Schizosaccharomyces pombe: one gene and its partners. The gene in region 2 interacts genetically with the main gene of each other region. Each region holds a gene or a part of one and is shown on either strand. Other genes may lie near its edges. The genes, in order: hhf1, mcl1, fft3 and rad1.

Region 1 (3,981 bases), 1.4 Mb from region 2:
TGTTATTAAAGCTTTGCTTGCTAACAAAGCCGATGGTGGAGTATTCCTTGACATGGCTTACAAGCCCTTGCATACACCTCTAATGGCTGTTGCATCTGACTTGGAATGGAAATGTTGCAACGGATTGGAAGCTTTAGTTCGTCAAGGTCTTGCGTCTTTTCATTTGTGGACTGGAATGACAGCACCATTTGATGCTGTTTATCAAAAGGTTATTGAGTAAGTCAACAATTCAAATTTTCGATTTAGTTAGGTATTTTGAAATCTATTTTGATACAAATGTAGAATAAAAATACAGGAAGTAATTTTTTTTAGCACTTCAGCTAGTAGAATCAGGAAGCCAATTGACGCTTGGTATGTCAATGATCAGTAAGCAGTCGCAAAATGTATGAACGCTGTAAATTTACAACAACAAAAATAATCTTGTAGAAGTGGAAACATTACTGTACCATTTTGCATACCAACTTGTATCTACTTTCGACTACAAAATGAAGTATTTTGCGAAACGTGATAATTAAGTTTATTAAAGTGTGACATTCAAAGACATTGTTTGCAAAAAATAATATCACCTACAAAAGAAACTAGTCATAAAAACATATGCAGAACAAATCCAATTAAAAACAGAACTTATAAGACTGCTGAAAAAGGGAAAGTCGCAGAAAGAGGTAATAATCCACAAAAATTATATTGATAGATAATTCAAATTTCACGAACAATTGCACAACATTTATAGCAGACAGGGGTAAAAAAGGAATTAAGTGGTAAATAATAAAGTGATATACAAACAAGGAGAAAAAAATCAATGTAATAGGAGTTTAACCACCGAAACCATAAATGGTACGGCCTTGACGCTTCAAAGAATAGACAACGTCCAAAGAAGTGACAGTCTTACGCTTGGCATGCTCAGTATAGGTGACGGCATCGCGAATAACATTTTCTAAGAAGAGCTTGAGAACAGCACGAGTCTCTTCATAAACCAAAGCGGAAATACGCTTCACACCACCACGACGAGCAAGACGACGGATAGCAGGCTTAGTAATACCTTGAATGTTGTCACGAAGAATTTTACGGTGACGCTTAGCACCACCTTTTCCCAAACCTTTACCACCTTTACCACGACCAGACATGTTAAGAAGTAGAAAAAATTAAAATCTACGCAAAAAAACGCGTAATTCTTTAAGTATAATAAAGATAAAGGGGTTTTCCGTTGACTAACAAAGGAACAATGAATTTATAGATGTCAACAGATGTTAACGGTAGGATAAAAGTCAATGCAAATTGACAAAGGATTTTATCCGTATTCAAAAACAATTAAAAGAAATGATTGTCTGAAGAGAGGGAAGTTGGGGCGACGCTGTCTATTTGTTTTGAATCTGCATCAAAACCCTAACCCTGCTTTTGATGAGATCGGGTGGATTCAAAACATATATATAGCAAATATCTGCAGTACGCTTGCGTTTCCATTAATTCTAAAGATCAACAATTGGCAAAAGTAGCACAACAGCTATTTTTTTCTCGATTGTCTTTTTATTTGATATTCATTCTACTAGCTTGATATAATGGCTCGTACTAAACAAACAGCTCGTAAGTCTACCGGTGGTAAGGCACCCCGTAAGCAATTGGCCTCTAAGGCCGCTCGTAAGGCCGCTCCCGCTACCGGAGGTGTTAAGAAGCCTCATCGTTATCGTCCTGGTACTGTCGCTCTTCGTGAGATTCGTCGTTATCAAAAGTCTACTGAACTTTTAATTCGTAAGCTACCTTTCCAACGTTTGGTCCGTGAAATCGCCCAAGATTTCAAGACTGACTTGCGTTTCCAATCTTCTGCCATTGGTGCTCTCCAAGAAGCTGTTGAGGCCTACCTTGTCTCTCTATTTGAGGACACTAACTTGTGTGCTATTCACGGAAAACGTGTTACGATTCAACCCAAGGATATGCAGTTGGCTCGTCGTCTCCGTGGCGAACGCTCATAATTTTCTCCAGGACTTTTGGCAATTGTAATTGAGACTAAATTAATTTTGATTGACTGCTTGCCTGTATTATACTGTCACCCTTTGATATGTTGCTACCAATAAGTGAAAAGCAGGCTTCGTGAATAATTGTTGTTTTTGTTCTACATTACCAAGAGCTAGATGAACGTTCACTTTGATGGGAACGGATATGTGTTAATTTGGTTGTTTGAATTTATCTTCAATTATAGAAACTTGTCGTTAATTCATGCGAATGAATTCAGCCTTGAGAGTGACAAGTTTAGATAACACATTATGTACATTAATGAAAACTAATGACAACAAGTACCTTTATTTGAAACATGATTTCTTTTATTTCAAGTATCTGTTAAATTTATGTCTTTTGTTTTATAAAAGAATACAGAACTACGAAGACAATGCTTTTTTTAAAAATCTTTACACTTTTGGTATTGAGATTTGGTTGTTATCGCAGCATTCTTTATCGTTTAATGGCGGTTCGCATAAAGAATTGCACATATTTATATGAACAAACTGTTTTCAGGTATTTACGAACTGTTTAATAGCTTAATAGCTTTGATATATCGCGGAAAGATATTTTGCAAAGACAAATCGAGCATGTAATGAACTTATCGGCCGAAAAAAAATAGACAATTCGTGAAAAATAATCAGTCATTCTTTCCTGCTTGTTATGTAACCTCTCTTTAGAACCTGGAATTGCATTTATAAGAGAATTAACGGTCGTTTTAATTCTTATTTTTAAAAATTTAGAGCTTTCTTAAGCATAGTTGAACGAGTAAAAGTAGTCCTTTGTTAGCGACTTCATAATTAAGCCTTGAAATTTATTCGGATGATTATTCTTAACATAAAAAGGAAGCGCTGCTGACTGCTATATTTGGTAATTGCGATTGCCTGTCATTTCGTGAAGTAGCAAAATATTTGTAATTTATTGGCAACATTTAATTTAAATATAGAATTAAGCATATACTCACAGAGTTAATTTAGTTAGTATATAATTTTAGAATCTAGGATGGGATGTGTTTATCGGGCAACAGAAAGTTTAAAAGCAATTTAGTATTGTATCCGGAATGTGAGGGCTTTGATTAATTTGAAATTTTGAAAGACCAATGTCAATCAATGCTCATTCAAGAAGAACTTACTTTAAGTACTCAATCATCTAAATAATGGGTCCGACTAATATTGCGTGCTATGTTATCTCATTTTTACAAGTTTCTTTGTTTGTTTTCTGTATATTCATTAGTACCTTTCACACTGGGATTACTGAACAAGAATATTCACGAGCCGCCAAATATATTCGACCCATAATTCGAAGGCACACTTTATTAGAGTGGTAGTATTGTTTACAATGAAGAATGCTATAAAGTGATTTACATAAATTATCGTTGTATATAGTCGTTTAAACAGTTAACAAAGTCATATTCTATATTTTTTTGATTTTGGCTGAATGTTTTACTGCTAGTAGTTTCAAGCTTCATCATGCATCCGTTAAATTGGTACATTAGTATAACAATATTCTAATATTATAATAACTATTCTCATATTTTACAACAAATAGCTATTTTCCATAAAATTCAAGCTTAGTTTTCAAATGACTGCAGTACCATATTTGTAAACTTGACCGTTTTTGGAATTCATTTTTTGTATAAATTGAAGGACTTTCTTTTAATTTTGTAAAACAGTGGTAATTTTCATCGTTTAAACAGACGTAGATTGCCATAGTACATTAAATGGTTGAAACAAGCGTCTTTTATTAGCAAAATGCTTGGTTGTTTCTGAATAATCAGCATTTTCTAAATTTTTTATGATATGAATTCGATGTTAAAAAGAATGTTAAATCATTAGTAAAAATTTAGATTACATATTCATTATTGTCATAAAGCTTTCTGAATTATTAATATCAATAGACTTAAAGACCTGCTTTCCAGTTATATGGGCAAATTCATAATTGTATCATTAGTTTCTGTTAAGTTGCTCTGTTGGTTAGTTTATCCCTCTATCT
Region 2 (5,829 bases):
TGGGTTCATAGGATGTCCATTTCCTTGAGGCTAATCTCTTGATCAAAATGAATCAGAAGTCAAACCTTTTATGCAAATATTTTATGTATGTCTTTTCTTTCAAGTTCACCTTTTTTTCTTCCCAAGTTTTTTATAAATATCAAAGCCAGAACTTTGGGCGTTAGCTCTTTTCGATCGGCTAGTAATGCGAGCCTTTGAATCATCATCATCATCATCAGTATCAGACTGTTGCTCGTTCAATTCATCGCCTACTTTATTCAATTTTCGCTTTAAATTGTCGTGGTTTTTGCCGCCTTCAATTTTTTCAGCTTCCTTCTTCTTCTGCAACTGTCTTTCAATCTTCTTCTTTAATGCCGGTGGCAGGCTTTTCAATTTCTCATTTTTGGAAGTAACCCAGCTGTTTTCTGACTGGTCTTTTCTACTAGCACCCAACCCTAACCGTGGCGGCCTAGCTTGTAACGGTGGATCGTCATTTTTTTCATCGCTACTGACAGATGTATTTTCGTTTCCCAACCACGAATTGATTAAGTTTTTTGTGATGCTTATGGATGTTTGATATTTATTCAATAACACATCCGCACTCACTTTTTGTTCCATGCTAAAATTGTGTTTTCGTTTGCAGCTTGGCACTTTACAAAGTTGTACTGCACTTAGTGTCTGCAACTTTACGAACTGTAACGCACCCTAAGGCACTGAGCTTTGCAGTTTCTACATTAGATTTTATTTCATTTCAGAAAGGAAAAGAATACAAATTCCTTTGTGACTCTTTGTCATTTTAAAAAATGTTTCCACCTTTTCTTATGAATCAATTTTTTGTACCCCTGTGCAATTTCTAAATAGACTCGAAATATATGCCGAATATACTGACATATAAACATAGAGGTTATATGGTAAACAAAATGAAATGTGTTTATTAAATACAAAAATGAGAAAAAAATCAAAGTGCTAGATGCTTATATAAATGAATTTAGAAAGGAGCAAGATCGTGACAAAACTTCTGCATAGCTTTGCTTCAAACCCCTTTTGATTAGCTCAAGCTACTAATATGCAAAAAATAATGTTACATAAAAATTAAGACGTGAGGGTTTAGACGTTAGATAGTAGATTACCAATTTTTTCAGCAACATTTGTAAGGGAATGGTGGAGCGCAATCTTTTGAGCAGCAGCAATACTTGTTGTCCTTCTCAAAGTTTTTGTCAATTCATAGACACGTTCGATTCTTTCCTCGAGACAAGCCTTTTGAATAAGTTGCAACAAGGCTTTGTCAATGTTAGCTTCTAGTCTAGCAATGCTTATTTTTTCGTCCTCCGTAACATCGCCATCTCCTATGCTATCTTCCAATAAAGTCAAAAATAGTTTATTACGGAGTTGTAGTTCTTCTAAAACAGGAACAGATGTAGAAGCATCCGGATTGTTCGTATTACAAGGAATACGAAAGTCAAATTCTGTAAACATCGGACGAGGGAAATAGGGATATCGAGAGGCTCCTTTTAGCAATATACAGTGAAACTGATTATCGGCAACAGTTACAGGCCAATAAGACTCTTGCCGTGATTTGCGACGCTCCAATTCATTTGTATCTAAAACAGGGATCCACTTGGCTTGTCCTGGTATGCGCCAATGCATTAATACCAACAATACCCCAGTTGAATCGTAGATGTAAGGATCTCCAACATCCGAAAAGAAAACACTCTCTAACGTTCCTTGGGGTGGTAATGCAACCCCATCACCAGTTTGCAACATTTCATCACGAGAAATGTCTTCAATGGAATAAACAAGACGAGAATTTCCATCAGAGCTCAAACCATCGTTGGCGATGGTTATAATCGTATCCTGAAAAGATGAACAAGCTACAAATGGCAAGTGTTTACTCCTGTGAATGCTAATTGGAAAGCCTTGTCTTGAGAATACGCGAACATATCCAGCACTCGTACATACCAGTACAACGCTTGAGCTTAATGAAATTGTCACAGGACTTTCATTCTCCATGGGTAAAGCCATTGCCCATTCAGATTTACGCGACCAATCAACATGTGCTTTATAATAAATAACACCAGGTGAACTTTCCGTTGCAGGCGAAGCATACAAAGCACCTTCATGATCTAAGCATGCCATTTCAAATTTTTGGTCATCAACAAAGTGATATTTTCTATGAGTAGTTTCATCATGAAATTCAACCGTTATAGTGTTGTGTTCTGCATCTTGCTGTACAGTCCAGATAAACCCTACCAAGTTCAAACATAGATATCTTCTATTACCCTGCCATGGTGTACTTCCAGTATGAACGGGTTTATGTATTGAGGCTTGCAGTAAACGTCTTTTACTAGAACCATTCTCTATTGTTGTAGTTCTGTCGATCAACGCCTTCTGCTTTCTTTTCTTTGCAAGGTTTAAGTCGTTTTCATCAACCATATAACTATCACCATCTAGGTCCAAAGATGAATCCAATCCATCATGATTGATAAACTCATTTTCCTCGTTGGCAGAGTTCCCATCCAAATCATTGACGTTCTGACTTTGCTCATCGTCAGAACCAAAAAGATCATCAAGCTCTTTGGAAGTACGGTTTTTACTTTTTGACGAAGTCAAAGGCTTCGTAGGATCATTTTCTTCCTTCAATATTGATTTAGGAATGACATCCGGACATGAATACAAAATTCCCTGATTTGTAGTAAATGATAACACGTTTTCAAATGGCTGCCAGGCGAGTGCCACCACTGTACTATAGGGGAGCTCAACGACTACTTCATGACTTTGTGTATCCCAAATTAAAATGCCTCCTTTTTTAAATGAAGCAGCTATGTACATTCCATTACTGGACCAGGAGATATCTGTTACACCAGAATGATTCTCTTTTGGAAGAAGTTTGTACAATGGAAGCCAGTCATCAGGGGAAATAACTGATACAAAATGGTCGGTACTCGCAACTGCAAATGTCCCGTTTTTAGGATGCCAAGCCGCCTTTGAGCAAATTTCTGATTCTGCCTCTAAAGAGGCAATAGTGTTTGTTAAGAACTTGATGAGTTCACGAGTTTGGGTGTCATAAAAATACAAAATTCCATTGCAACTGGAAACTGCTAAAAAATTTCCGTTCGGGCTATAAGTTACATGTTTATTCGAAGCCTTAGCTGGACGAAGAGAGAAAATTTGTGAAGAATCAGTGGACGAAACCACTTTCACTGCTGTTTCACTATATTTGTTAGGCTGAAAACGACCAAGTAGAGCATTATACACTAAAAAAAACTTACTCACTAGCTATGGCAATCCAATTTCCATCTACTGAATATGCCACATCGCGAATAGGAAGAGTAGTACGCGCCAGCAATGTATGCTCGGTAGGAGAATCGATGGGATATACGCAGACAGTTGCATCTTCTGAACAAGTACAAAAATAATTTTCCTATATAAAAGTCATTAGCTCCAAACTTTTTTGAGGACCACTTACAGCAACTGCAATTCCTGTTATAGGATCTTGATGATTATCAATGGAGTCGGGTTCCTCATCAGAACCAACCTGAAATTTTCGGATTACTTGATTAGAACCGACCGTAAGAAGAAATTTCCCATCACGAGTATACGCTAGACGCGTCAGTCCATCTGTATGGGCATATCTAGGAACTAGCCTATTCCCTGCCATAATAGCTAGAGGAAGAGTTTGTATATGAGATTGGGACTAGTATGGCAATAGCGATACTTTCGTTAGCTAGTTACGCTATTTAATGTAAACAAACATTTAAATAAAAAATCTACCACGAAAGCACTATTGAGAAATTGCAAATGTTTGTCTACAATTTATTTTCATATGCAAGTACGATTGAAAATATGCAATCCATGCTTTTAATCATCTGCTAACAATTAGAAATTAATACTAAAGTAACTTATATGTGAGACTATAGGAATAATTTAACTTTAATCATTTCAGAGCTTTTTTTAATTACTCTGAAGTTGTATTTGATGTTCCATTAGAGCAGTTCTGTTAAAAAGTTTTGAAATGTCTGCTATAAATGTTCAAACAGCCGCACAGCAATATTCTAAATGGAGGAAAAATATGCAATTAGCTATTGTCTTTTAGTATTTTAATTAATGCTTACCATGACAAGCTATAAAACAGAATCTGCAGATAAGTCATGCTTGATTAAACCACAAAAAATCAACGACATGGAAATGGAATTGAGAAACCTAGTGGAGCCTCTCACAGGAAAATTAAAAAGAAGTTAAATAAATTAATCATACAATTAGATTTCGATCATTCATTTAATACTCGCAGTAATTATATGTATGTATTTTTTCAAAAAGTAATATGAAAATCGTTTTTGCACATCGTTAAAGTTTTATTCTGTATTAGAGTGATACACTATAAATGTTAACGCTGCTTTAACGACGCACAAAATACAGGCTATTGGCATACTCTAGGTTGTGAAATCTTTGCTTTTTTGTAGTTACGTCTGCCAAACAATTTACCATTCCAAGCAAGATTGGTAATCTGCTTGATCATGTCACAGTATGCTGTAGAACTGTGTGAGATTCTCGTAGAGGAATTTTTCGGTGATTGTTGCTCGGTAAGGATTCAATTGTATTTCTAAATCTGAAGTTGAGGTTGCAAAGTCTTTTGTATTAACCAATTTATTGTCAATTTAGGCAGTAGCTAGTGCACTTTTGAGGCATGGTCGTTTAACGATTCCCATGCTACAAAAACGGACTTCGTTGCCAGGACCAAAAATTCGACAAGCACTTGTCAGTTTAATGCAGCATCATATGGTTTTGTACGTTACGGTCATTGAAAATGTACGTGAAGTCACATATTATGAGACCCAATGGAAGGAAATTTATAACATTCTTCGCAAAGGTAAAGATGTATATTTGATATCTCAAAAATTAAACCAGGAGGCTGCCTCTGTGGTAAAATATCTTAGTACCCAAGGACGTGCACGTGTACTCGAAGTATTCAATGCTTTCGATAAAAAGGTTGATGGGAGTGATGAAGAAAGCCGTATGATGCAGAAAAATCTAACGGAATTGATTTACCAAAAGTTTTTGCTAGTAGTGCAACCGAGACATTTAATACCAGTAGGAGATCAGGAAATGCAACTCCGGATCAAGCACTTAGATCGCAGAAAGTCAGAAAACGTGTCTGAAATAAAAAAAAATAGAGAGGTTGATGATTCTGTCGCCTTGGAAATGTTAGAGCTTCGTGCAGCAGATATGTCAGAACTACAAGGACTTACCAGGAAGCCAAAGGAATCAATACCACATCCAACAAAAAGAAGGAAACGTGCTGTTGGCTCTGCTCCGTCTGTATCAACGGATTTGAATAATATATTAGACGATGATAATAGCATCCTTGTACCTGATCTATCCGCGCATGTTCGCATAAATTCAGGAAAACTTTCTGTCCTCTCAAAAAATGCCAGGCTTACCCATTGGGTGGAAAGAAGAATTGGTAAATCAACTTCGCTTGTCTATTCTCACGTTCTTTCTATGTTGGAACCCAGATTATTTAGTATTTCCAATCAATCTCCGGTCTTTACACTCACGACAATGGAGCTTACGAGAAACTTTCCGAATGATATCGACGTTGAGAGTTCGATTGTCGATAAACAGTATAGCGTAAATTCTGCCTCTAACGAATTGCGTGTCATGGAAAAGTTGAATGAACTAGATGAACTTGCTGAGGAAGATAATTATGAAGAAAGTGTTGATGAAAACGCAAATCGCAAGAGCAAGGTGCTGGCTCAACACCTGGAGCTTTTGGCAGATTGCTCATTAAAATTTATTTCAAAAATAGGCAATCGAGGAATGGGTGAATGGGCGGTCAATTTTACCCATTTA
Region 3 (6,484 bases), 1.2 Mb from region 2:
TATAAAAATGTCCTGTTTCATTGTCACTATGAGATAAGTCGGATTTCGAATTGCCCATTGATAATTTTGAAAGTCTATACGCAAGAGATGAATCTATGGAGTCAGGGTTAAACTCTGATCCCATTTGAGCAGATTTTTGAGTGCAACCCTGAGTGTTAAGCACTAAATCCCTTTGCCAGTGAAGTTGATACATATCCAAAACCCTTGTTATCAGCTTCTTTTGATACTCATGCAATTTATTTTGAAGTAGCTCAGAACGGCGATAAGCTGTAAGGTATTCCTTAGAGAAATAGTCACTCGTTGAATGTGATAAGCCAGCTAACTTTTGACTCGCGATATTAATTGATTTTTTGCGATTAGACAAGTCATCTTCTATAAGCTGTTTGCGGGAATGCAAGTCACACGATAACGATTTCTTTTCGTTTAGAGAGGCAGCAAGGTTCTGTAGTCGATAAGTTAATTCCTCTTTTTGGGTAATCTTTCCTTTTAGAGAGAAACTTTCTGATTTCAATTTAGCAACCTTTTCAAGCTCTGACTCAATATCTCGAGAGAATTCATCACGTTTATGATAAAAATCATAAAGCTGCTTTTTTAAACAGCTTTCGCAAATAGAAGGACGTCTTGTTTCGCATAATTGGCATTTATTGACATGCAGCATACAAACACACCTTCAGTTTAGATCCAACAATGCCTTCAAGTGGTACGCAAATTTCAATTATAGCACAGCAATAAGAAAACTTAAAAACCCAGCAGGATATTAATTTCCTACTACGTTAACTGTCAACTTGTATACAATATAGGTGTTGTTAAAATAATGAAGCAAAAACAAAGAAGAAAAAGGGAAAAAAAATAAACAGCGCAGGTTTTTAAACAATTATTCTTAGAAACGAAGGGCCTCCTAACGGACAAATTCAAAAATATTAATTTAAAAGTGAAACTGCATTCCTGGCTGTTCTTGCAGAATTGAACAACCAATGCGATATTTTTGACAGAAAAAACGACAAATATTAAGAAAAAATTATATTATACGAATTCAATGCAATGAGTAGATGGACTTCTATTTCTTCAAATCCCCGAAGTAGCTACTTAGCAGTTGATGTTCGTATTGATTACTACAATCGTATGCAAATAGTTACTTTATAAAGCGTTTAAAAATATTTCCTTAAAGTAGCCTGTTACTCGACACTCAAATTTTTGCTAAATAACTTTGAGTGATGAGCAAGGTGTTTTACAAAACTATTTTATCTAAATAAATAGGTTAATAAAATATTAACTAAATAATATAATCCTAGAACCCAAACCATCCTCTTTTAACATTAGCTTTTGCAGTATCACCTAGAAAACATAACGTGGTACGCTGCCATAATATAACGAAACACTATTTGTTGTCATATTTCTTAAGGTTCAGTGACAAAAGATCTCTAGTATCTGCAGTTATGTTTAATGATTTTATTAAAACTATAAAAGAATAAAGACAATTTCGCCACGGTATCTTTTGCTAAATGTTTAGTAATATAAAGAGCAAGTTGCCATCATGATATAGCTTTACCATAAACTACGTTACAACGTTTAAGGCATTATTTAGCATCAGTATTTGGGACCACTACCACCATATCACGCCCCCGTGCCACATCAAGAACAAACTACCAGCATAGTGTGCTCTTGAATTATACCGAATAATTCCATAATACAAAAGAAGGTATTGGGTGACTGGAGTCTTTTTCTTTAACAATCCGATTCATTGAGTGTTATTATTTTAATTTTGGTAATTTTCTTTTTCTTTTTTTAAACAAAGATTGTTTTTGGATAGCCAAAGTATAAGTCGTTTTTGGTGATCTTTAATTGCGAGTATTTGTTTATTGCTAGAGCTTACCAAGTTTGCTTCATCTTAAACATCAGGAAAATTTTAAATTTATATTTTAAAATTTTTTTGTCTACTTTTCATTTACATTTTATTTTTCTTCATTAAATTCTGCATATCATCTCGAAACAACGCTTATGTATTAGAAGAAGGTGGTCTATCCTAATTAACTCATACACATCTCGTAACTAAAGGAATTGTTTCTTGTTTTAGAAATTGCAATAAGTTTTGGCCCTCAAAATTTTTTGTAATCTGCTGTTCCCATATTAAGTTTTCAACTATTTGAGTTACCAAGAAACGCGTGAAACAAGAAATCTGTATTGTTTTGTCGTTATTTCTTCCATTTTAATTAATCTTAGGAGAATTTAAAAAGTTTCAATCTTTTTGCATCTATTCTCGGCGCTCTTAATTCGTGTGATAAAATTATTCATAATATACACGTGACCTTACATATTTTTTCTCCAAATCCTATATTTTAGATTCAATTTTCTTTTGCCATTTGCTTGGATACATTGATTGTTACTTAATTATGGATGGAAAAAGAAAAATAGAGCATACCGCTGATGGCACGCATTACGACGCGACTTCCAACGTGAAGCGCAAGCCAATTTTCCCCCCTTTCATTGCTGATTCGCTTTCAGAAGCTACCGAAAAAGCTAATGTTATGGGGGGTGGTATGAATTCGCGACTTCAGATTCTTTCAGAGATGTCTAAACGAGTTCAGGCTACTGCACCCATTTCAAGTTTAGAACATTTCAAGCAGTTGAGTGATATTTCTCCCTCATTTACTTCCTCTGCTAACTCCATAAATCAACCATATAATTATTCCGGTTCGTTAGAAAATCTTGTTCCTACACCTTCTGCTGGCACTCCTTCGCAATTTATGGATGCCCAAAATCCATACGGCGCTGTTTACAATGCTTTATCTCAATTCTCTGAGACAGAGCCCAAAATGCCCTCTTACATGGATGACGAAGAAGCAAGCGATTCTTTACCTCTTTCATTATCGTCTCAATCACTGAGTTCACAGGTTACAAATCAAAAGCCAGCCCCACATCGTCTTACAATGAGAGAACGATATGCTGCTAATAATCTTACTAACGGACTTCAATTTACCTTGCCATTGTCATCTCGAAAGACTTATGAGCCTGAAGCTGACGATGACAGCAATGATGATATGTACTCTGATGATGATTCAAATGCAGATCGCTGGGCATCTCGTATAGATACTGCTGCTCTAAAGGAGGAAGTTCTTAAATATATGAATCGTTGTTCAACACAGGATTTGGCTGACATGACAGGTTGTACGCTTGCTGAAGCTGAATTTATGGTTGCCAAAAGACCTTTTCCAGATCTTGAATCTGCTTTGGTCGTTAAGCAACCTCGTCCGGTGATTCCCAAAGGTAGACGAGGTAGACGTGAAAAAACTCCTCTTGGACCACGTTTAGTTGGTATATGTATGGAAATTATGCGTGGTTATTTCGTAGTGGATGCGCTTATTCGTCAGTGTGAGCAGCTAGGTGGTAAAATTCAGCGCGGCATTGAAGCGTGGGGCTTGTCAAACACTGCTACATCTGATGAAGGTGAAACTTCTCTTGTCAACTTTGATCAAATGAAAAGTTTCGGTACGCCTGCAAATTCCTCGTTTATCACTACACCTCCTGCATCTTTTTCGCCCGATATCAAACTACAGGATTATCAGATCATTGGGATTAATTGGCTTTACCTTTTGTACGAGCTCAAACTGGCTGGTATCCTGGCTGATGAAATGGGGCTCGGTAAAACTTGTCAAACCATCGCTTTTTTCTCATTACTCATGGATAAAAATATTAACGGGCCACATTTGGTAATTGCACCTGCTTCAACGATGGAGAATTGGTTACGTGAATTTGCCAAGTTCTGTCCCAAGCTAAAAATTGAACTTTATTATGGATCGCAAGTCGAACGTGAAGAAATTCGTGAACGTATCAACTCTAATAAAGATTCTTATAACGTTATGTTAACCACCTACCGTTTAGCCGCTACTAGTAAGGCTGATCGTTTGTTTTTGCGCAACCAAAAGTTCAATGTTTGTGTATATGACGAAGGTCATTACTTGAAAAACCGTGCGTCTGAGAGATATCGTCATTTGATGAGTATTCCTGCCGACTTTCGAGTTTTGCTAACTGGTACACCGCTACAGAATAATCTTAAAGAATTAATTTCGCTTTTAGCGTTCATTCTTCCTCATGTATTTGATTATGGTTTGAAAAGTTTAGATGTCATTTTTACTATGAAAAAATCCCCAGAAAGCGACTTTGAACGAGCATTGCTTTCAGAACAGCGAGTATCGAGAGCCAAAATGATGATGGCCCCATTTGTCCTTCGCCGTAAAAAGAGCCAGGTGTTAGATGCTTTGCCGAAGAAAACGCGTATTATAGAATTTTGCGAATTTTCCGAAGAGGAACGTCGCCGTTATGATGACTTCGCTAGCAAACAAAGTGTAAATTCTTTATTGGATGAAAATGTCATGAAAACTAATTTAGATACGAATGCAAATCTTGCAAAGAAGAAAAGCACAGCTGGTTTTGTGCTTGTACAGCTTCGTAAGCTTGCGGATCACCCTATGTTGTTTCGAATTCATTATAAAGATGATATCCTTCGACAAATGGCGAAAGCTATTATGAATGAACCCCAATACAAAAAGGCAAACGAACTTTATATATTTGAAGACATGCAGTACATGTCAGATATTGAGCTACATAATTTGTGTTGCAAATTTCCGTCTATCAATTCATTCCAACTTAAAGATGAACCTTGGATGGACGCCACAAAGGTCAGAAAACTTAAAAAACTGCTCACTAATGCTGTTGAAAATGGCGACAGAGTTGTATTATTTAGTCAGTTTACACAGGTTTTGGACATTCTTCAACTTGTCATGAAATCATTAAATCTAAAGTTTTTAAGATTTGATGGTTCTACACAAGTCGATTTCCGCCAGGATCTCATCGATCAATTTTATGCTGATGAAAGCATTAATGTATTTCTTCTTTCTACCAAAGCCGGCGGTTTTGGTATCAATCTTGCGTGTGCTAATATGGTTATTCTTTATGATGTCTCTTTCAATCCATTCGATGACCTTCAGGCGGAAGATAGAGCACATAGAGTTGGCCAAAAGAAAGAAGTTACAGTTTATAAATTTGTTGTCAAGGATACCATCGAAGAGCACATTCAACGTTTAGCCAACGCTAAAATTGCTTTGGATGCGACTCTTTCCGGCAATGCCGAAACTGTGGAGGCTGAAGATGACGATGATTAGTTTATACAGGGTTTTTTATGCATTAGTTTTAAAATAGTCAAATTGATTAGGTTTCTACTTTATTCGAGTAAACCTTTCTCTTTATTTTCAATTGTATTATCTGTATTTGTGTTTTGCACGTTATAAGTCGATCCCGTTTCACTAAATCAGATTAAAAGATTTGATTTGTAAAAGTAAATTCTATTTATTGAATGATACAAATTCAGTACTTCTTCAACCTAATATGAAAGCTTTTAGCTTCTTGACACCATTTATATACCACGCCAAAAACGCGTCGTGAAAATGGTCAGTCTTTTTTGAAGATAATACAGCAAATAAGCGATTCTTATTATCCAAAGTCGTTCTAAAACTTGCAAAACAAAAGTTGACAGAGGAAAGCACTTCACCTAGTAAGTTTATGAAATCATATTATTACATTTTATTTCTCAACTTCGAATAATAGTAATCGAATAAATAATGAATTTTGTTCAATTTTAATACTACAAAGAGTGTTAAATGCTGAATCTTTATATGTGGAAGCTAAGTCGCTCTCAAGTTTATCAAGCTTCATTATTATTTGGAAGCAGAGTAATTAGTGCTCTTGCATTTACAAATACCGGTCTAGTTTTGCATGGCCCAAGAAGATGGTATACTACTGATAATGGATTTTTGTTGCACCGCGATTCTAAGGTTTCGTTAGCCGATTATATTCATGAATCTACGTTTGATCCCAGCAAGGGTTACTATTCTCGACTTTGGACAGGCTCAACCAATAATTTGAGCCATTCTGTACATGTATTAAGGAAAGAAGGGCATAAATGTTCCAAAGAATTTGATCCTTTTTTGCATGGAATACCTATTCCTCAAAAGGCATTAAACATCTATGAAAAGCAAAGGTCTCTATTCTCTGAGTCCATTAGTAACTACTTGGTGTTGCAGTATAAACTTCGATATTTCCCGGTGTTTGATTTGAAAATATATGATTTTCATTCTGGGACTGGAATAATAGCATTGGATATTCTTGATTATCTTTATAAAAATCACCTTGAAGTTTATGGACGTACTACATACAATATAGTCTTGCATAATTCTTGGCAAGCAAGCTGGTTTAAGAGCATGTTGACATCTGTGAGATATGCAAAGCATGGAGATCATATTGATATATATGTTAGTGATCCATTAACGTGGAACCATACTGATACAAATCCTTGCTTTGTATTGGCATTACAGGTAATTAGCTCCTTCGGTCATGATTTATTTCGTCAGAGTAACGGCGCCATGATGATGGAACGGTGCTGGCTTGGTCCAGAGCACTTTTTAAACGAATTCTTCACTCTAAATACTCA
Region 4 (4,598 bases), 1.7 Mb from region 2:
ATGACTTAATGTATTTCATTTTTACATTAATTTAATTTACGAAATAAAAAAAATCCGTATACTAAAATTAGTGTTTATAAGTTAAGGAAATTAGTTTTGAGTAAGTAAATCCAACAATCATAATGCGTATGAATTTTCCAAGATACACAGAAATGAGCGCGTTTATTTTATGAGCAGTATTCCTTTGAAGATTATTAATCTTTAGTTCCCCTGCAAAATTCGTAAGTTGGCTGTTTAGTACATACCTCTATATTACGTTGAGTTGTGAGTCAGCATTTCTGCTATTAACCTAGTATCAAACCTGCTTACTCAGAGAGGAGTACCACCAAAATTTAGGAAAGGATAATCAAGTATAGAAATTATCGTACAGTTTTGTCTGGATCAATAGTTTCCATTCACCAGTATTTATTCTGCAAATTATAATCTTTGTCGCACCACAATAACCTGAAAGTAAATATGGCCTCAAAAGTCGATTCATCTCATGAGTTCCCCAGCCAAATCAAGAGATGCTTGTCCTCATCCAAATATATTCAACTAGCTACTTGCTTTCATGATCAGCCTCACTCTTCTTTGATGACATTTACCTATTTACCTGCAGGAAGCGCTGCCCCTTACGAAGTGGAGGATTGCATTATTTTGTCAACAGGAGAAAACAGTAAAAAATATTTTAACATCAGTTCGGTATGTATCATATTTAAAAGTTTAACTTATCCTTGATCCTGATTGGTATTTTCTTTTTTCTAACATGATGACTAGAATCCTCGAGTATCATTACTAGTTCATGACTGGACCACTAATCGTCAAGAAACAGATCCTGATGCCTCCTCATTGTACACCTTACTTTATAAAATGAATCAGGCTCAGTTCTCGAATACATCAGTGACCTTGAATGGCCTTGCTACCGTTCTTCCAAAGAATAGCAAAGAAGAGGAATTCTTTAGAGAAAAGCATTTAAACACTAATGACAAGGGTAATACGAAACAATACGTGGAGGGTGAGGATATGAGAATTATCAAGATAAAGTTGGAAAGTGCGAGAATTTGTGATCAGAGACTCAACAACGTCCAAAAATGGAATGCAAGAGGAGATGAGACTCCATTTTGAGTAAACAAATGTTTTATGAGTGTCACTTTGCATTTTCTATTTTTTAAAAATCAATAATGTTTGAAGAATTTTTGAATGCTTCGTAGATCTAACCATAATGTATAATCGTGTGTATGATACATGGGAATTTTGTTGGCTACATGCTTTGCTAGACAGCCTAGTGGAAAGCGTCTTGTTTATACGTGTGTTAAATAAGCATAGAAAAAGTGAGGAAACGGTGTGACTTTAAGCTACCTAAATAAGACCAAACAAAAAGCAGGGAAATAAATCATGATTCGTTGAATAAGTGTATTATCATAAGTTGTTCAGTATCAATTGTACCTTTTTCTTTTTTTGAAGTTATCGGAAACACTAAAGTGCTGAGTGCTAAAATTATCATTTAGCTATCCTCATCCTCGGTCTCCGCATCTCCTCGATAATTCGGATCGTTTCGTAAAACGTTATTGTCCGACTGATTAGATTCTGCTGGTTCTTCTTCTTCATCCTCCTCCTCATCTTCACTTACAAGGTCCAAAGGAACAATACAAAAGTCTACAAACGTACAAAGCCCTTCTTGACCGACAAGCATGATTTGAATGCTCAAAGTTCCATTTTCATCAATACGTAGGTTTACTTTAGAACCCACTTGTAATGCTTTCAGCGCATGTCTTATTAATGAGAAGCGGTAGGAATAAGTGTTTTCAGAATCAGTTTCAAAAGACTCTAAAACACTTTTCTCGTTTGGATATTCTATTTCCGTAGTGGATAATGCCCCTACACATCTCAATAAGAAGGTTGATTTTTGGGATGATGTATGAATAATTAAATTTTCGCCCATGTTATTGTCTAATTCCACCAAGGCATCATATAGCCAGTTACTTTTCATAATGATCTTCGTGCACAATGTGCTTGCAAGTCTATTGATGTCAACGTCGTCCTCACATTCCATAGTCAACAGTTCACAAGCCGTAGCATAACCAGCCATTTCCTCTACTCTTTATTTTTGTCAGTACAGAATGTTAATGATAAAATCCTTACTCCCATATAAATGGACAGCCGGGTCCATTATACTGTACTTTGCAGATAACGCCTCGTTTGTGCATTATGTTTACAGTGGGTTGATCCCAGGCACTAGTTGAAATCCGTTCTTTTCCATCTGTATAAATTGATAATGATTGTAAAAGAGGTGAAATCATCGTCTGGAACATATATGTATCCCCATCTGAATCACCCTGAAAATTAAACGTTTGAAACAACGACTTATCAAGAAAGGCGTGAGCTTAATGTGTGAGTGAACAATAAAGAAAAAGTGAATGCATTTCAAGAATCGCATTAATATATGAAACTTTATTAAGTAGCTTCAAATTTTTTAACGATCATAGATGTGAGACTCGACTTGTCTTACCCTGCAAAGACTGCGATTCCTCCACTGCAAACCGTAGTCCACGACTTGTGATTTCGATAGTACATTCCTTTGAAAAATCAATGCATCGTAATGTTGACTGAATCTGCTTTAAGCATACTGTTTCTGCTTGAAACATGCGAATTTACGTCCAACAATAAAAAATTGGTTATATGCTACAACTTGAACACCCGTAAATGCTAATCTTATAAATTGATAATTTTTCCTTCTGATATTAAAGGACTTGACACTTGATTACAAGACCAAACGCAGAATAAGAAAGACAGTTCAAGTTAGAAGTTATTTAGTAAAATTCGAAAAGGTGCACAATTTTAAAAGGTATGCAGATTACTAAAGGAAATGAAAATTGAGATTGCTTTTTCTTTTTTAAAAAAAAAAAAATTGTGAAATATTTTATTCTGATATATAAATTTTTGGAAAGCCGTAAAGCTTAATAGACGAGTATTTTATTTATTAATTGAATAGCATCTACTTCTAACTGTCTTTATTTATTTATCTCTCGACACAGAAATTTTATCAAATTAAATACAAGTTTTAAGAGCCATATTTGAATTTACCAAATGATATTCAAAAAAGCTATAGGATCCCAGTAAGTTGATTGACTCAAAACTAAAGATACAATTAAGGATTTGTAGCTTAATGAATTTGATTGTTTATGAAACAAATGGTTCATTTATTAGACAAATATTGCAAATTGCCGAACTGTTTTAGTGATAATAGCTAAATTTAAATTGCTTTAGAAAATCCATAATTGTAATTTTATCATATATACAGTTAGGATGTCATTTTTACACCCTCTTTTGAAAAGTCATTGCTACAATTAAAAGAAAGGTAATACAAGATGGATCTAATTTCTTCCTTATTTAATCAACCTAAAAAATTTCGAGTTAACTGCATGCACTTTATTTAGCTTCTCTTCTCTTAAATAAACACTTTTTATCCTTCTTCCAATCTCTCCTTTCTTGGATATAAGAGTTGTATAATATTTATAAAACAGAGGGGAATTTACTTGCTGTTATTATTTTTTTCCAAGCTTAGATTCTGGTTTTCACTTTTGATACACTTTGTACATGCCTACATCTTACCTAGCTTTTACTTGAACTGGTAAACGAGAGGAATTTTAGGAACGAGTCAGGCGTTATAATTGAATTGCACGATAGTCTTTTCATAAGGCTTTTATTTTACTTGATGCGGCTATAAAATATAAGTTTGTCAAAATTATTTATTTTGTATCAGACGGTTTTCATATATTCAATTTGAAAAGGAAACTGGCGCATAAAAAATACATTATTCTAAATGGATGTAGATTCAATTTTTAAAAATACCGAGGAAACAAATAAGAAAAGGAACCCTGAGGAAGCAGACTCTTTGGAGCCAGCTAGTAGTCGCAGAAGACTCGCTGAAGAGAATAGCGATGAGGAGAATGAAGAATTTGACGAGGAAGGAGGTAGATTTTTTGGAAGTGGGCTTAAAAAGAGTGAAAAAACCGTTTTAGACTTTTTAGACGAACAGGAAGCCCAGGAAGAACCTGCTTCATTGACTCCTACTGAATTGAAGCGCATGGTAGTACGACTTGAAAAAACAATTAATAATAATCAGGAGTTACGCATCAAGTATTCTACTTCTCCTCAAAGGTTTATAGAATCAGAGGCAGATCTTGATCTGGAAATTCGAAGCTTCAATGTGCTTTCAGAGTATCCTATCCTCATACCCATTTTCCTTAAATTAGATTGTGTTTCCACGTTTTTAGAATTAATGAACCATGAAAATGCGGATATTACTATTACGGTATTGGAGCTATTGATAGAACTGACTGACGAGGATGTTGACCCAGACGCATTAAACTCCTTATTTACTTCCCTTATAGATTCTGGTTTGCTTCCTTTGCTTTCAAATACAATCAAAAGGTTTGACGAATCTAATGAGGAAGACCGACATGGAGTATATTGTGTGCTCTCTCTTATGGAGAATTTATTATCTGTGGACAATAGCATTTGTTCAATAATAGTTGAAAACACAACATTGGTAGAATGGTTACTGAGTAGATCGTCTGTTGATGAAACTTCTATATCAACTAATTTGCAGTACGCTG

Evidence for each region.
Region 1: mutations in mcl1 (region 2) and hhf1 together harm fitness more than expected from each alone (negative genetic interaction), as found in Schizosaccharomyces pombe (2 studies listed by BioGRID).
Region 3: mutations in mcl1 (region 2) and fft3 together harm fitness more than expected from each alone (negative genetic interaction), as found in Schizosaccharomyces pombe (2 studies listed by BioGRID).
Region 4: mutations in mcl1 (region 2) and rad1 together harm fitness more than expected from each alone (negative genetic interaction), as found in Schizosaccharomyces pombe (3 studies listed by BioGRID, with this or other methods).

The regions. Positions count from the first base shown.
Region 1 is NC_003424.3:4,698,273-4,702,253, forward strand, and holds hhf1 (histone H4 h4.1), read right to left. Parts: upstream 1,328-3,981; 5' UTR 1,125-1,327; coding exon 813-1,124; 3' UTR 501-812; downstream 1-500. Other genes in the region: multifunctional aromatic polypeptide Aro1, read left to right, coding at 1-220; hht1 (histone H3 h3.1), read left to right, coding at 1,557-1,967.
Region 2 is NC_003424.3:3,282,109-3,287,937, forward strand, and holds mcl1 (DNA polymerase alpha accessory factor Mcl1), read right to left. Parts: upstream 3,645-5,829; 5' UTR 3,638-3,644; coding exon 3,446-3,637; exon of another isoform or gene 3,401-3,445; coding exon 3,249-3,400; exon of another isoform or gene 3,191-3,248; coding exon 1,087-3,190; 3' UTR 896-1,086; downstream 1-895. Other genes in the region: SPOM_SPAPB1E7.01C (uncharacterized protein), read right to left, coding at 106-597; DNA-directed RNA polymerase III complex subunit Rpc82, read left to right, coding at 4,494-4,559, 4,639-5,829. UniProt on the Schizosaccharomyces pombe protein: Has a role in regulating DNA replication complexes. Acts as a regulator of post DNA replication initiation. Associates with chromatin during G1 and S phases of mitosis. Required for the transcriptional repression of the outer repeats of the centromeric region.
Region 3 is NC_003424.3:2,096,956-2,103,439, reverse strand, and holds fft3 (protein Fft3), read left to right. Parts: upstream 1-1,634; 5' UTR 1,635-2,390; coding exon 2,391-5,159; 3' UTR 5,160-5,245; downstream 5,246-6,484. Other genes in the region: protein Atg14, read right to left, coding at 1-658; SPOM_SPAC25A8.03C (uncharacterized protein), read left to right, coding at 5,655-6,484. UniProt on the Schizosaccharomyces pombe protein: DNA helicase that possesses intrinsic ATP-dependent nucleosome-remodeling activity and is required for heterochromatin organization.
Region 4 is NC_003424.3:4,976,645-4,981,242, reverse strand, and holds rad1 (checkpoint clamp complex protein Rad1), read right to left. Parts: upstream 2,666-4,598; 5' UTR 2,625-2,665; coding exon 2,489-2,624; exon of another isoform or gene 2,363-2,488; coding exon 2,122-2,362; exon of another isoform or gene 2,079-2,121; coding exon 1,484-2,078; 3' UTR 1,105-1,483; downstream 1-1,104. Other genes in the region: SPOM_SPAC1952.08C (pyridoxamine 5'-phosphate oxidase), read left to right, coding at 457-681, 757-1,104; SPOM_SPAC1952.06C (uncharacterized protein), read left to right, coding at 3,803-4,598. UniProt on the Schizosaccharomyces pombe protein: Recombinational reparation of DNA damages induced by UV and gamma radiation.